Nothobranchius furzeri: one gene and its partners. The protein of the gene in region 2 purifies or fractionates together with the protein of the main gene of each other region. This does not show direct contact. Links are inferred from orthologs where the notes say so. Each region holds a gene or a part of one and is shown on either strand. Other genes may lie near its edges.

Region 1 (6,031 bases), on a different chromosome or scaffold from region 2:
CCATTCCTTACACTACCCTCTGCATTTACCCGGGCTTGGGACCGGCACAAATGGGACACTGGCTTGTTCCCTATTGGGGCTGCATTAATCTTTTATCTATCTATCTATCTATCTATCTATCTATCTATCTATCTATCTATCTATCTATCTATCTATCTATCTATCTATCTATCTATCTATCTATCTATCTATCTATCTATCTATCTATCTATCTATCTATCTATCTATCTATCCATCCATCCATCCATCCATCCATCCATCCATCCATCCATCCATCCATCCATCCATCCATCCATCCATCCATCCATCCATCCATCCATCCATCCATCCATCCACCCACCCACCCACCCACCCGTCTGTCTGTCTGTCTGTTTGTCTGTCTGTCTGTCTGTCTGTCTGTCTGTCTGTCTGTCTATCTATCTATCTATCTATCTATCTATCTATCTATCTATCTATCTATCTGTCTGTCTGTCTGTCTGTCTGTCTGTCTGTCTGTCTGTCTGTCTGTCTGTCTTTTTTATTTTACTTGTACATATATATATATTGGGTCCATGTGGCAGGGGTGAGGAGTGAGCACCACCTCACCCCTGCCACATGGACCTCAAGGGATAAACCATCAATCCTGCTCAATGGTCAACTTTCCTTGCAGGGTCACCCATAAAGACAGTGGGAGGATTAAAGATTAATCAGAATCAGAATCAGATGAATTTTATTGCCAGCGCTCCTTTCAGAGCATAGGAACTTGACTCCATAGTACAACCTGACCAAGGTTACACACACACATATAGACAAGACAGATACAGGCACACCATGGGAGCAGCCATAACGGCGCTCCGTTGTAGATGAGTAAGGGAATACATGAGGGAAGTTCAGGGAGGGAGAAAAAAGGCATTAGCAGGGTTACACCAGCAGGGTGTAGCACTCCAATGCAAAAAAACACCCGACATGTAAGCAACAAACGTCACAGTTCACAACATGAGACCCGGTAGGTAGGGGGGAGGGGCTGGGATCCTGGTTTCCTCAGCGGGGGCTGCCTGTGTGGCGCTCAACCAGCTGGCTCCGCAGGTGGGAGGGAGGTCATGGGGAAGCACAGAGAGCAGTGAGTCCTTTAGCTTGATGACCTCTGTGGAGACCACAATCTGAAGGTGGGGGGGTGGGTGGATAGAGATTCACAGCATTTGTCTGCATTCCTTCCAGCGTGGAGGTTTTGCACGCAACTCCAAGGCTGCTTATGGCGTCAGATTCGATAACAGAACTTTGTTTGGGTCAGACAGAGATAATTTTTCCTCTCTGCCTTAAGTCTGTATTGATCATTCAAGTCCTCCAGTGAAGCCAATTCAGTGATTTAACATCTCCACACCATCCGGTGACCCTTTCCGAGATGTTATCAATCCTGCACGCTAACACCGGTAACGCAGCTAAGACATTGTCCAGCTTGCGATTCACCTCGAGCAACGTCCCAGTCTGTGAGGTATCCACACGGACGGTGCCGTCCATGGTTGCGGGTCGCCCTCCAATCGCTCCCGTCATCCCAATTTTACGGAAAGCCAGATATCCTCCCACTCTAATCAGAAGAAATCCAATGATCATCAGGCCAAATATCCACATATCTTCGACGCCCTCAATGGACAGCTGAGAGAGACAGATGATATTCCACTTTTTCCAGGAATCAAACATATATCCCGCTGCATGTGTCCCCTGAGGACAAGCGTGAGCCCCCTCCTCCGTCCTCATTGTAGAAGAAATCTTATCAATTGCGTTGAATGACCAATTAATTAAGTCCATGTTGAAAAATGCTGAAAAAGGTGATTGCAGAGGAAATGCAGAGAAGCGCTCTGTAGGCAGACGGGACAAAAAGAGCCTTGGGAAAACACAGATAAGGGAGGAAAAGGCAGAAGGGTCTGCTCCCTGTGAGCGCCGGAAGAGATATTTAAAAGATATTTATTTTATTTTATTTTATTTTATTTTATTTTATTTTATTTATCCACCCATTTTGGAACTGGCTCTATTGTTGCCAGCTGCTAGCTACTCAGCGTAGTCGTAACAAATCTCTCTTTCTCCCAGCTGAGGTTGTTCAAAGAGGTATATAGGACAGATAATATTGAAACTGTTGAGAAAAATCCACTTCTAAATATCTAAACTCCCTCTTTAAAACTCTTTGGGCAAACAGCCCTTAGATGAATAACAAAAAGCAGCTTATAAATAAATGAGGTGTTGTCCATGAGTAAGACACTCATTCATTTGCTCAGGTGGAACAGCTCCCCATCACATCCACATCGTGTTTACTATGAATGATAACAGCCTCGCCACACCTCCTTCCCAAGAAGCCATTTTGTTGACACAGTCTTGCAGTCAACATTAAAACTCCTTTTTAGGAGCTTCAAACGAAATCGTGACCATCAAATGTCCCATCTGTGCAAGAATAGCGCGTTTTCTCCCAGTAACAGCGCATAGGGAATACAAGAGCGGTGTTCCGGGCTGGAAAACGGTGGGTTTGGAGTGCATGGCCACCCATTTTAACATGAGGCTCACCGCTGCTGACGTCACCGAGCCGTCTTTGTCCACCTAATCCAGGCGGCTGTGTATTACCCCTTCATTACCACACAGACCCAGGCTCCGGACATAGCCTGCAGGTAACGCTTCGCCATAGAATTAGGGATAGATAATAACAAATAATAAAATAATTATTGTAGCGAGGAGACAAACCAGTGCTCCTCCTCGGACATATAGACAGGGAACGCCACAATAACCAACCAAAGGCTGCCAGAGGCTAGAGAGGAGCGCAGAATCCATCCATCTGTCAGCCACTTAGGACCAGATCACCTTTCCAGTCCGGATTTCACTGCAGCTGTCTAGCTAATAACACCAGGAAAATGTAAGTAGCAACATTTTAATCTTTATTTAAAAAATAAATAAATAAGCTGATAACTGCTTTATGTGGTTTGGGGGATTTCCTGCTGTCTTCTGTTTCGCGCAGCCTTAACATTTCCCAGCTTTGATCTAAATCATCCTTAAACGCCGTATTTTATTTTATTTGCGTCGCTTGTTTTTCTCTGAGCCTGAATATAGCGGCCAACGCATCGGCCTAACCTTGGAGGAGCAGAAAGAGAAGCACCGGCTCTTATCTCGATTATAAAACACCATCTCATTTATTTATTCAGTCTGTTTATTTTCCATTTTACACAGAACGCTCTGTGTTTACCGCCTGCTTCTTTTCAGTCCGTTTTCCTAGTGCGCACGCACGCACGCGCATATATTTTTTCCAGTTTGAACTGGTTTGAAAAGAAAAAAGATATCACACGCACGGACACACACATTTATTACATGTATTGCAGGCGAATTAAAAGTCCAATAAGAAAATGAATGAACTATCAACTATGTTTGAACTTTATTATTTGTGTTTGCTTTTATTGCCACCGACCGACCAGCTGGTGACGATTAAGCGGATTTTAGAAACAGCAAGGACACAGTGCTCAACAAACCAGAACTGGAGCTTCATTTTAATTTGCTAGCCTTCTCCTGAAATAAAAAAATAACAAACAAACGGAGAAATTATCGACTAATAGTCAATAAACGTGACTGATGGTAATATTAGCTCAGGCCTAGTTTTTGTGCTATTTCCACCCTACAGCGGGGGGTGGGGATAGCCTAGCCTCCTACTGTATGTCGTCGATTGTCACGAGAGGGCGGTCGGGTCCAAATTTCAGACTGGCTATGACCTTTTGGTATAACTAGCCCCTTTAAATACATTTCTGAAGGCATTTTGTGTGTTTCATATGTTTTAACTCGATCATTTAGTAGACACTAAAGCTAAAGTGAGGGTTTCTGTGACACCTCCTTCCACCAGTCTCCCTGCACATCAATGACGTTTAACCAGCCTGATGCTAGCACACTAGTTTCTACTGTCCATGGCGTCTTCCTCTGTGAGCTACCAGCTAGCAGGAGACTCCACACCCTCATTCTGACTCAGTTTGTGCTCCATGTCAGCCACCATGTTTTAAAGGACATTAAAGTGGAACCTGTTATGTTAGTGAAGTCAAGAAACATCGACCAGGACCGGGCTGGCTGAGGGTCGGATGAGACAGAATGATGCTGACGAACTGTCCAGTGCTGAAATGTCGCTGTCCAGTGCTGAAATCCAGTAACGACAGAGATATTCTCCAAGGGTGGGAGTTATACAGTGATAACATTAATATTCGACATTTCATTATTATTATTACAGACATTTTGTTCTTATTAGGGTGAATTACCGTAATGTTTCAGTGTGTTATAATCAAAAAGCATAAATAGGGAGCCTAAGTCTCCTCCCCTTCCAGTTGGCTAATGGATCCCCAGAAGAACGACAAAATGAATACAAGTCAACGGGGCTGAAAGAGCTATTTTCTGATCCATTTAGCCTTACGCCCTGGAATATGTTGTACTTCAATTTTAATGAAAAAATAAATGATATGATTCAACCATGCCAATCACGTACTTTGAGATTTATCAGCTTGTAAATGATCATAATTAGCATGGCAACAAATCGGATGTTGGGTACATTTATGAGTGTCCCCTAGAGTCTGTTAGTAAAACCAAAGGTGAAACTTATCTCCTCGCTGCGTGTTCATCTTTTTAACACCTTAATCTAACAGCTGAAATGTCTCATCAGCCTTCATTAGGCTCTACAGGAGTGGTTCATCACTAAATGAAATAAATCAGCTTTGTTCACGATCTAAAACATGAAGGAAGCATACTGGAAGCAGACTGAAGGCCAGGCATGTCAGCTCCACTTTACTAAGTCCAACCAGTCTGCCACTCTGAAGCTGTAAATGCGGTATTTTGGTGACAGAGGGTGGTGGGGTCTCAGTGACATTTAATTAACCATGTAAAGAGTCATTTCAGTACATACTGCCTCAATAAAGGGATTTAAAATATGAACAAGTTGTATAGTATGAATTTAATACGTTTTAAATAAATATGGTTAAGTCTACATCACGCATCAAGCAGTTTAAATTAAAAAAATGCAAAAACACTTTAAGAACAAATGTCTAAACCTGAGTTAGTTTTATATTTTTAACACTTGCAGATTGACAATGTTTCTCCTCAGTGAACAAGTTAAGGGTGGGGGTCCTAGTGAACTTTTCTGTCTTTTTAAAAATTCACCTGCTTTTCTTGGCAGACAAAGGACATAAATTACAGCTTTGTCTTGAAAGAAGGTTGAATATTTTTAGCTTTCACAGCCAATCTTACATCAGAAGTAGACTGTACAGGGAGTCATGTGAAACCTCACCTTCCCAGTAGGTCACGTTATCTGCCGTTGTCAGATAAGGTTTCCTCTTTCTTGTCCTGTTTTTGTTTTGTTCTGTTTAATTTAAAGAATACAATTAAGATGGGTGTTCTGTTTTCTTTCTTTTCATCACAATCATGGAAGCCTCAAATGAGTTTATCGTCTTTTAACAAACCAAAGACTTTGTGGCAGAGATCAGAGACAGCTGCACCTGGCTGGATGGAACACAGTAGGTGGTTTTTACAGGATGTGGAAACTGATGAGAAGCCTTGTCACTGCATTAGCAGTTCTGCCTGGTGTTAGCTGAGAGGCGATGACAGCGAGAACCTCTACACGCATTGCACCTTTGTTGTGGTGCTTATTGCACAGCAGCTATACAGATGCTACTTTTTAAATATTGAACTAAATTAATAAAAGTAAATTGTGAGGCTAAACAATAAAAGTGACATTTGCTTCACGAAAGAAAACAATATATTTTCTAACCTTTAAAAAAATGATGGTAATAAGATGTAACAGATTTTTTAAAAGTGATCAGACATTTCCCTTTGTGTCTGTTGGGTTTTTGTGCTGCTTTGGATGCAAAATGTTGCACTTTTTTTTTTGGTCAAAATGTTGTAATTCACCTAAGAACCTTTTAGATAAATACAACTTAGACAAACTTGTTTTGTTCACTTTTTACAGCTCAGTCTTTTGACTATTATGTGTCCACTTGTTGACCAAAATCAGACACAAAACAAGCTTAACCCTTCCACTTTCCTATCAGGT
Region 2 (5,698 bases):
TTCTGTGATCGAACGGCTGTTACAACACAACCTTGTAAGTTGCAAAGCAGAAACAAAGGACATTTTAATGAAATAGCTCCTAAATCCTCAGAAAGCTGCAGCATTTGGCAAAAAGACGATGTCTAGGTGAGATGCAAATATGACAAATGATACAAGAAAACATTTGTTTTCATAAGTTTAACAAATATTAATTTTCCACTTGTAACCCGATTTATATAGGAGCCGTTAAATCTCCACTAGGGAGCTATTAATCTCGATTAACTCAGATGTAACAAAGAGATGAAAGTGGATTAACAAGAGCGACTGCCGATGTTTAATACACACTTAGAGAATATTTCATATTTACATCAACACTGCAGAGAGAAAACAACCTGATGAGACTTTACATTGAGTAAGACAACGGTTAAAGCCCTGCTGTGTTTATCGTGTTGATAGAAAGTAAACCAGAACCTTCTGTCACATTTGAAGCAAAAGAAACAAGAGATTGTAAGGCTTCGTGCATCAGCAGGTCAAACCTCGACTTCCCATCAGTCTGAAGCTTAAAAAAAACAAACAACAACAAAAAACACATCTTGTTTCTATCAGATTAGAATTCCAGCATAAAAAAGATCTGCCACAACTCACTCCAAAAGCACGGCATTTAGGATGACTTTTTGAAATATTGATTACATCTAAAGTAGCAGAAACGACGAGTGAATAGTTATAAAAAACAGCTTAATTCATGAATAATTAAATATGAACTCAAAACAACAACCATACATTTAACGATGGAACAAAAGGAGGAAGTGAGCGGGATAACTAATCGGGTTTGTGTGTTTGGATTTCTTTAGAAACTAGCTGTGATGAGAGCATCTCAGTAGCCACACACACACACACACACACACACACACACACACACACACACACACACACACACACACACACACACACACACACACACACACACACACACACACACACACACACACACACACACACAGACAGACAGACAGGAATAAGAAAACAGCTGACTTTGTGAATATCATGTGATATGTAGTCACAGGCCTGGTGTGTACTCTGTGCTGGGCGCTCAGTCGCTCCCTCTTTGGTTGTCACCGACACAATGCAGCCGCCGCCGTCTCCAGGACCCAGCTCATTAAACAGTGAAAAGGTGTGTGTGCATGTGCAGAAGTGTACAATGTGCATGTACGTAGCAACAGGACGTGATGAGGAAACAGGCAGGAGCAGGATTCTGTGTTTATTTGATGAGCTTGTTGGCTCTGTCGTTCGCTACGTCAATGCGTATTTTGTTCAACTCGGCCTAAAGGAGAGAAAACAGAAGATGTAAACAAACTGTCATGTTGTAGGAATCTGCAAACACATTTAAATAACTTTTCAAAAGCTTTTCTCTGCACAAACGCACATCTTAACACGGATCTGCATGTTTTCCTGAAATCAAGCAGCACAGAGTCGGGGCTTACGTCTCGGCCCAGCCGCTCCGGTCATCACAGGATCGTCGGCTAGCAGTGCCTACACCACGCTCAGGACAATCCAGACTCTTCTCATGCATCGTTCCACAAATGTGGAATGACCTACCAAGCACTACCAGAACAGGGGCTTCCTTTTCGATTTTCAAGAAACTCCTGAAGACCCTGCTCTTCAGAGAGCATCTTCTAAACTAGCACCCTCCCTGCACCCGTCCCCCTCTCTACTGTCCACTCCTTGTTCCCTCCTCTCCATGATTCATCATGCTGCCTCACTGCCACCTACGACTGACTGGAAATTGGTTGTTGTTGTTGTAATTGTTGTTATTAGCCTCAAGGGCAACACGCCGATTATCACTTGTAAGTCGCTTTGGACAAAAGCGTCTGCTAAATACATAAACATAAACAGAGGAAGGTTGCTGATCTAATGAAATAATCAGATGACCAACTATCTCAATATGTGAATTTACAAACATCAGAAAAGCAAAAGTCTGGAACGATTCTCCTCCACATTTCATTGTGTTGTTCAAATTTAGATAAAATTGCCATTTCTTTAAAGTGTTCCGACTGAACACCTTAAGCAAGAAGTCTCCTGGAAAAGTCCTGATCCAGCTTCCGCGTTTGGCCGGTTCATCTCATACTTCCAGGCAAATAATCCTAAAATCCCAGAGGCTGGATGGAGAGCTACTCCGAACCGCCGTCCTCAGGAATCAGCACACTGGCGGGATTTAGGGATTAAAGTGTTGGCTTTGGCTGAGCCACTGCAGGACAGGCAGAGACACGTCCTGAAGTTGGTCCAGAGTTGTCCTGATGGTTTGTCGTCACCCCCCCCCAAACTGTTTGTAATGTGATGCTTCCAGCATCGTGCCTCAGCACAGATGGAGGTTGGTATTAGACCACAGTGGGGTTCTTCTGGGACCACTGGGGACTCTCCTGTGATGATGCACCTTTCATTCACTCTACAGCGCTGATGTGAAACAACTGCTGTGTTTAGTGTCATTTTACAGCAGGTGTTAACTCCTTGTTTGTTTTCCAAAGGAGTAAAATGATGAACAGAAGAATTCACCAACAATAATAACATTTTACGTTATTACTATTGTGCCTATTTAAAATTTTAAAAATGCTCTCACCTTCTCAGTGATGTTGTCGATGTGCACGTTCTGCTTGTCGATTTCGTTGCCCATATTTGTTGCCAAGTCCTTCAGGTTGCTGACGATGCTGCCGACCGTGTTCAGGTTTTCCTCCATCTCATCCTCTCGAGCGTCGTTGGTTATCCTGCACATCAGACATGAAGTTTAACACCTAAGAATCCAACAGGAACGTCACAATCTCACCGTCAGAAGGGCACAAATGGATCTGGCAACCACTGGTTGTGCAAGATGTCCCCCTTAAGAGATGAAAGAGATCTGTAATTGTCATCATAATGTCATTTACATTTCAGCTGTGAGACAGAATATAAACATAAATCACACTGTATGACTTTTACTGCTGTAATGGTGCAGAAAATAAGCAACAAGGAATTCTGTCCCTTACAGAACCTCTTCTATCCTCAACTTATGGCTCCTGTTTAAACCCATTCTCTGTATAAAAGACACCTGCCCACACCTTCAAACATTCAGACTCCAACCTCCACCATGGCCAAGACCACAGAGCCGTCTAACGACACCCAGGACAACATTACACACCTGCGCAAGACGGGGACGAGACAACCTACAATAAGCGAGCTGCTTGGTGAGAAGGGATCAGCTTTTGCTACAATTTTTAAAAAATGAGGGAAAAAATACAATCTCCCTGAACCTGGAAAGGGGAGGGGGGGGGGGGGGGGCACACTGGTCAATGACCTGAAGAGACCTGGAACCACAGTAGAAGAAGAAAGAAGAAAATATCTTTTCTATAGCGCCTCTCAAGATGAAGATCACGAGGCGCTTCACAAAAACAATTGTGGAATTGAAATTAAATGAAAAATTATTGAGAAAATGATTGAAAATTTATTTATAATGAGCAAAAAATTGACAATTGTGATTAAAAAAATGTTAAAGAGAAAATGCATAGGAAAGAGGGAAATCAGTGGATCCTGAGGAAGGTGGAATAGGTGGGGAGAGCAGAATAAAGAGAGTGGTGAAGAAGGTCATACAAAAGCCAGCTTGAACAAGTGAGTCTTCAGCTGCTTTTTAAAGGAGACCACTGAGTCCACTGATCTCAGGCTCAGGGGGAGAGAGTTCCAGAGTCTGGGGGCCACAGCAGCAAATGATCTGTCACCTTTGGTCTTTAGCCTGGTGCTGCACAACCAGTAGGCTTTGATCACTGGACCTCAGGGACCTGCTGGAGGTGTAGGGACTAAGAAGATCACCAATGTAAGATGGTGCTTGTCCATGTAAGGCCCTATAGACCAGAACCAGGATCTTGAAATGAACCCTGAAGTTGACTGGCAGCCAGTGAAGCTGGAGGAGAAGCGGGGTGATGTGGGTGTGTTTGGAGGACTTGGTCAGAAGCCGAGCACAGGCATTCTGAACCACCTGTAGACGGTTCAGGGAGGTTCTGCTCAGACACGTGAAAAGAGAGTTACAGTAGTCTAAGCGTGAGGAGATGAAGGTGTGGATAACTGTCTCAAGTTCAGAGCGAGACAGAATGGGACTCAGCTTAGCAACGTTCCTGAGATGGAAGAAGGAAGAGCAACAAGAGAACTGACATGAGAATCCAGGATGAGAGCTGGGTCAAAGGTCACGCCAAGATTCCTGACAGAAGGTTTGGTGTGAGAAGTAAGCTGACCAAGAGAGTCTCTGACTTTGGGAACCAGCTTGTCTGGGGCACAGATGAGGATCTCAGTCTCATCTTCATTCAGCTGAAGAAAGCTCCCAGCCATCCAGGTTTTGATAGAGTCTAAGCAGGTGTGTAACATCTGCAGCTGAGATGTCTCATGGGGCTTAAAGGAGATGTACAGTTGGATGTCTTCTGCATAAAGATGGTAGGAGATTCCTTTGAAGGAGCTCAGGATGTGCTGAAGAGGAAGCAGATAGAGTAACAAAGGTTACCATAAGTAATACACTTTGTCATCACAGATTTAAAATTCTGCCGTGCTCAAAAGGTCCACCTGCTTATGCCAGTACATGTCCAGGCCCGTCAGAAGTTTGGCAGAGATGATCCAGAAGAGGATTGTGGTCAAATGAGACCATAATAGAACTCTGGTATAAACGCCACTTGCCATGTTTAGAGGGGGAAGAATGCTGAGTTGTACCCAAGAGCACCATACCCAAGCATGGGGATGGAAGCATCATGCTTTGGGGGTGCTCTTCTGCAAAGAGGACAGGAGGACTGATCCTGCTTAATTTTATTTTTTTTTTTACATTCCGTCTCTCACAGTTGATGTTTACCTGTGATGTAAATTACAGACCTCTCATCTTTTTAGGTGGGACAACTTACACAATCAGTGCCTGCCAAAAATGTTTGTTGCCCCACCCAACAGAACTCTTAGGAACACAAAGGAACCTGACCTGTTGATGTACGGACCAGACGGGGCCGAGGCTTGCACCTGGACAGTCTGGCCATTGCGAACAGCCGAGGGCTGCCTCGAGACCACATTTGAGTTGTTGCCGTCGCCACCCCCCTCCGATCCAGTTCCCCACGTGCGCTTGTAACGAGATTCATTCTCGATGGATGAATGTCTGGAAGGTAAAATTTAGAATACATGAAAAAATTAAGTTGCTTATCTAAACACACACACACACACACACACGCTTGCACAAAGACGGAGCCATGTAAAACTAATGGTCAACCACTGCAGAGGCTGATCAATAAAGCAATAAAGACAAAAGACTCCCTACCTTATATCACGGTAATCAAAGTTTCCTCTTCTCCAAAGCGAAAGCATTTTAAAAAGATTTTTTCCATATTTAGAACCAAACATGATCTTTTAGAAAAAAACGATCCAACATAACTCCCAACCACGACACAGCCATCGTTTCACATTCGAGAGACTTTTTACCATCAGATTTCAGCTGAATATTAACTTCTGCTCTAACTACACCGGCCTTGTTTCAGGCAGGTGATTGTTAGTAAAGTGAAATAGTAAATAAGAGTTCTATAACCAACCATGTGACCTCCCAGTAGCAGTACTATGGAGCTGTGAGCCACCTGGAGCGTGTAGTGTACCTGTCACAGGGGCAGACACACAGGCCGCAGCATCTGGACAGGTCAGCCAGGTTTTTGTCGGCCTTTTTCATGTCCTCGTTGATCTG
Region 3 (5,734 bases), on a different chromosome or scaffold from region 2:
ACTGGGGTGTTTTCTCATTTACTGACAGCGAACTCTCACGGATACGCCACTCTATTAGTCAATGCTCTAGGCTTGCATAAATGATTTGGTTTGCTGTAGAGGCCAGGGGAGGGACGTAGGGGAAATATAAATTATGAAAGATTGCCTACTTTATATAACTAAACAGGGTCAGAAAGTCAAATTTAAGCATTTTTAAGTTACATTTTAATTCTAAACTATGTACCTCAGCTTTAAAGTGATTGACTGATCATTGGACAGTCTCTTTTAGGATTTTCTGCTAGAGAGAGTTCAGTTTTTGATCGATTAAAGCAAGGCCAGGTCTTGAAGAAAAAAAGCAACCCCAGCCCTTCACACTACAGCTACCATGTTTGACTGTGGTCATTTTTTAAAATCTGAAACAGTGTTAATTTTATTCCAGATGTAACAAGCCACACATGCTTTTTACAGTTACACATTTGTTTCTTCAGTCTAAAGAATATTTTTGCAAAGATTTGGGGGATTCCGAACGTTAAACGTGTCTTTGATTTAACCATCTTTTGTACGTTCACTCTGTGTATCTTTTCAACTTGCATTTCTTGATTCTTTTCTGTGTTTGAAAAGAACCAAGAAATGCATGTCTTTGTTAATGGTGAGCAAGGGTTTTGTAGCGCTGAAATCTAGACAAACCATAGCAGTAGCAAAAGATTTCATTTTATTTTATTTTATTTATGGGATTGCTTGCCAGGCTAAGGGTTTTGACCACTGAATGCTATTGTGGAGGTGAGTTTGTCCCCTTGTCCATGTTTTATTGTTGAATCATGGTGTTGGGTATTTACATTTAATCAGTCCAGGCGTACCTCAAAGAAAGTCCAACACACACAAGGGGGTTAGGGATATTAGATTACCATTTACCAATATGATCAATCACCAATAATCAACAACCAGACTGCAAACTCGGAGAGAAAGGAGATACACACCAATGGGATGTCTGTTCGGTCTCTCGACGAGCAGAAGCTCGCAAAAAGGTTTTATTCAAAAGTAACATAGCACACACATTAAAGGAAAACACACATCCCTCCTTCACAGAAAGCAAACTTTCCCAGGTTCTTGGTATAACAGAGAAACGCTCCGTCTGGACTTCACTAGGGAGCTTTTTGTGATAACAGAACTGCAGACATACAAGGTCGAACTTCCCTGCCGGAGCCACAGAAAAGTAACAAAATATGAACAAGGAATGAACCTTCGTTTGAATTAAAAAACACCAGATGGTACCCAGACAAAATCATTTTCCATGCATCCAATACTGTTTTTATCCAACACATGGAGTCAAAGTGAGTATTGGAGTCATATAGAGGTTGTTTTGAGTTCTTTTGTTCTTGAATTCTTTAGAACATGTATTGCTTTTTCAGATCTTTCCACATACCTTGTGTTTTCAGACATTCTACTGAAGAGCTTTGCTTCCAAATGTATGGTGGTAATCAGACCTGGGTGTGGCAAATGTAACTCAACATTCCAAATAAAAGCTAGTCACAGTTAATCCATGATTTAGCAAGAGGAGAAGGGTTAAGTTAGGTTAGTTCATATCCCTTAATTTTTTAATGTGTTATTTTAAAACAGCATTTTTTATTTACTCAGGTCATCTTTGTATTGTGTTGGTATTAGTTTGCTGATCACTAACATTTAAGTGTAATTAAAAAGCATAAACAGAAAGAATCTGACAAAACATTTTCACAGCACAGTACACACAACAACAACCCGCACATTCATGGATACTCTGATAACCAACAGCCTGATAAATTCCTTTACTCCCTCTTAAATCAGTACATCACATGACCCTTCAGCAGCCAGCGAACCTGGACATCTATTTTTATTTTCCTTTTTTATGTAACTATAGTTGCACAGATCAAAATGAATTCTACATTAAAAGATGAGTTGTATCCAAATGAACACTGTAATTTAACACAGTAGCCTTTGTTTTCATGTCACACGTTGACCACGAGTTCACGGCTGTGTTCTCTTCTCATTTTTACTAAGCACACAAACCAAAAGTATATATATATATATATATATATATATATATATATATATATATATATATATATATATATATATATATAAGAGAGATTTAGGACATTACTCTTGCTTTTATTAGCTTCAATGCTCAAAAACGCTATTTTTTAAATTTATTTTTAAAGAATTTTGCTCATCAAATTGGAAAACATTGATGAAAAGTTATAAAAAAACTTGAAGTTCCTTATTTATACAACAGTTTTCCAAACTTATTGTTTAGGTCACATATCATAGGTGTAACATTTAATCACGTTTGAGGAATAAAAAGACAGAAACAGATTTAGTTGTTTCAAGAAGACTCTGACGTCATTTATGTTTGATTTTCCAATTCCCGACAGCCCGGAAGGCTTCACGACTAACGACCGCACTCGCTGTTACGGACTACTTTACAAACAAAAACAACAGCAGCGGTTTCGCTAAATTAAAATATCTTTTCAAAATGTAAGTATTTTATGTTTCATTCACAACGCCTTTTGAGTCAGCTCAACCAAAAAACTGTTTACTTTGTTTTATAGTATAATACGATGTGATTAAACAACGCCCAAAACTTTTTTACTAGCATGCAACAAGTGCTGCTAGCACTTAGCTTGGGCCTCAAACGTAAGCTAAGCTAGCTGTAGCATCGTTACATTGATACTTTTAACTTCGTTTAACAAAAACTTTATTGTGGTATCTTTTTTTATCAATCCGACGCCAAAAGAAACAAGTATATATACCACAAGCTTGACTAATCTCCACAGCTGCGCAACTTATTACTGAAGAGTTTCCTTCCGAAACTAGTGATTTTCCGTTTGTTTGGCCTTGCTAAGATAGCTACTTGCACCCAATTCGAGTGTTTGAAATGACAAGATGAATAAATCACACATTTTAATTGTTTTACTTCACGTGGAAGGTGTATTAACAGAAAGTAATGGTGACAATAACTTTAAACGGGGTGATCCCTTACATATTTTCCAAAGAAGTCACAAGTTAGTCTCATCAGTTTCTTTATATTTGTCATTAACACTGCAACATTTAGTCTCCTATTAGATCAAGATGTTTAATTTAGAGTCAGTCAGGAGAGGTTGAGACTTTTCTTATAGATTAGATTTAGATTTTGCACACACACATAGAATGATAAGTAATTGCATATGCTAACTCCATTTTAAGATAAATTTTACTGTAAAATGCTTTTACATATTTTGTTATTGGTGTATATATAAGGTGATATTAATAAAATAAGAGCATTCTGATTTAATCTTTTGATGATTGATGCTACAGTTTTGGTGACTACTGTCTAAACCTTTTATTCACATGCACACTGATATTATATGAATGCTATTATCTAAAGTTATTCTGTTTTAGAAACATTGTATTCATGTAGAAGTTTTAAACTGAAACAATGTACACCACTCGTGATTTTACTGTAAGGCTTTTAGTAGAAAATAAGAAAAATGTGGGTTTGAAGTAACAAAATTATAAACTTTCTAAAAATGTAGTACCTGGCTGGGATTAAATGATACTTTAAAAACTCGGTTTGGAAAATAAAGCCTAACTCGGTTTGGAAAATAAAGCCTAGTTGCAGATGTCCAAAATAAGTTTCTGCCATTGCAGATTTTTTACTATGCTTTTCTGAGTGCTGTTTTAACAAGGAGGAGTCTTTGTATTTTACTTCTGCTTCAAGGAGAGCTTTTCCACAAATATCTTCTCTGATGCCATAACCCAATTTATGTAGATCTTTCTTAACTACAATGATTATGTGAATAAAGTAATCAATTACTTTGTACAGATAATAGATTTAAGTGGTAATTCTTAGTTTTATTTATTCTAAATTCACATTTTTGACATTGTGTTAATAAAAATGATGCAGGGGCTTGTGCACAAATTGGAAACATGATCATAATTTTAATAAACAGTAAATATGTGCAATGGCTAAAGGAAAGGGAAGCTCAGTTACTCAAAGATTCAGAATTAAGTTGTGAACAACAAATCTGTTTTTGTTCCTTAAGTTTCCTCTCCTGTGGTTAAAGCAGCTTAAAGGGCATGAAAAACCAACAAGCAGTGAAAACCACACAGATGCATAGCACTAATGGTGCAGTGCTGTCTCAAACCAAAGTGGGGCAGCACATGACTATTGCAAAAGTTTGTATTTGCTGATAAATATCACATTCATTTCATTTTAGAAATAAAGAATTTAGCAGTGTTTAAAGATTAGATTTATATTTTAAACCCTTAAAATGGTTTTTAGAAGTAAACCAATAAAGCTGAAGAGCTCGACTTTTACACGTAACTTTGTTTTGTAAATGATGGCGTAAATGTCTGCTTACACTCTGATGTAGAAGTAACTGTATTGGTCACGTGTTTATCAGCAATGGTCCTAATTACCTGTGATCTGAAAATAACACCCAAGCACGCACTCCAAATTTTAGGTGCACTGCTCAAAGCTAGGAATGGCACACTTGCTTTTTTATTTGATCAAAACACACATACAATATTGTCCCAGAATGAGACTGATGATGCAAACTCATACACAGAAAGAGACGTGGATTGAATTGATTTTATTAGGTTGCATCGTGGCTTAAACCTCATTTCCTGTCCTGCAAGCTACCTGTTGCATCAGTTTAACCTGGCTTTCCACAGAATGCATAATTGCAGTGTAACATCTGCAAAGTGTAATATGCAGTGACGGATGACATCACGCACCTACACCCCTGCCCCTAGCCCCTCGCTGGAGGGCAAGAAGCCAGCACCTCCCCGTTGACCACTGTTGTGTTTATCTGTTAATTATCAATAAACAGAGCTAAATGGAGGTGAAATAAAATCAGTTAGCATGGTTAACACTAGGACTGGGCGATAGGGCCTAAAATTAATAACGATATATTAAGGATTCCACCTCGATAACGATAAATGGACGATAACTACAGTTATGCGCAGAAACAAAGTTGTCCACTAGATGGGGCTGTCCCATGTATTACATTGAGTCACATTTTTACGTGACTCAAGGTGATACAGCTTCTTAAAGGGACATGAGCATTGCCAACCTACACACATCTTTTCATTTTTCTTATTATCAAATTTATTGACATGAGAAAATTGTTTTCGATAAGAGTCAGAAATTTCGATAACGATGTAACGCACCCAAAGGCCAAGTATTTACATCACAAATGAACAGAAATTAACTTTTTATTTGCAGACACAAACTGTGTCACACATCCAGGGAAGCATTACATCTGTCTAGCCTCCAAACAAGAAAAGCAAGGATCTACGACATACAAGCAAATAAGTAGCCATAATGTGTTTTCCTTATCTTTTTAAGTAGTCCATGCAGAAAACAAGACTTTCTGCACTTTTACTCTGAATACAGTTTGCCTTCCTTGAATCATAAATGACTTTACAACTTTATAGGTTGATATAATCAAATGTGTTGAATGAACAAGGTGTTTAAATCCCAAAGTGTTTGAATAATTTATGTATCAATCAGTGTTGTATTAAATTAATATTTTTCCTGCAATGAATACATACACACAACACATTTTCGATTTATTGCCCGGCCCTCGTTAACACACATAGAGCTGTAGGCTTCACGAGTAGATGAAATAAGAACAGTATAGTTAAATTTTACAGGTTTCCAGCTGAAGGCAGTCATTAATGACCAATTCTAATGGATAAACCACCCACATGGTAGCAGACAAAAGCCGTTTTACAA

The links.
Region 1: the proteins of synaptosomal-associated protein 23 (region 2) and vamp2 purify together in Homo sapiens (affinity purification with western blotting; 4 studies listed by BioGRID and IntAct, with this or other methods). This does not show direct contact. The link is inferred for Nothobranchius furzeri from reciprocal best matches to the Homo sapiens genes SNAP23 and VAMP2.
Region 3: the proteins of synaptosomal-associated protein 23 (region 2) and vamp3 purify together in Homo sapiens (affinity purification with western blotting; 6 studies listed by BioGRID and IntAct, with this or other methods). This does not show direct contact. The link is inferred for Nothobranchius furzeri from reciprocal best matches to the Homo sapiens genes SNAP23 and VAMP3.

The regions. Positions count from the first base shown.
Region 1 is NC_091750.1:51,656,743-51,662,773, reverse strand, and holds the start of vamp2 (vesicle-associated membrane protein 2), read left to right. Parts: upstream 1-2,670; 5' UTR 2,671-2,873; coding exon 2,874-2,875; intron 2,876-6,031. UniProt on the Homo sapiens protein: Involved in the targeting and/or fusion of transport vesicles to their target membrane. Major SNARE protein of synaptic vesicles which mediates fusion of synaptic vesicles to release neurotransmitters.
Region 2 is NC_091758.1:23,396,410-23,402,107, reverse strand, and holds the end of synaptosomal-associated protein 23, read right to left. Parts: coding exon 5,613-5,698; intron 5,126-5,612; coding exon 4,955-5,125; intron 2,739-4,954; coding exon 2,594-2,738; intron 1,301-2,593; coding exon 1,238-1,300; 3' UTR 1,224-1,237; downstream 1-1,223. UniProt on the Homo sapiens protein: Essential component of the high affinity receptor for the general membrane fusion machinery and an important regulator of transport vesicle docking and fusion.
Region 3 is NC_091743.1:51,774,234-51,779,967, forward strand, and holds the start of vamp3 (vesicle-associated membrane protein 3), read left to right. Parts: upstream 1-2,373; 5' UTR 2,374-2,488; coding exon 2,489-2,490; intron 2,491-5,734. UniProt on the Homo sapiens protein: SNARE involved in vesicular transport from the late endosomes to the trans-Golgi network.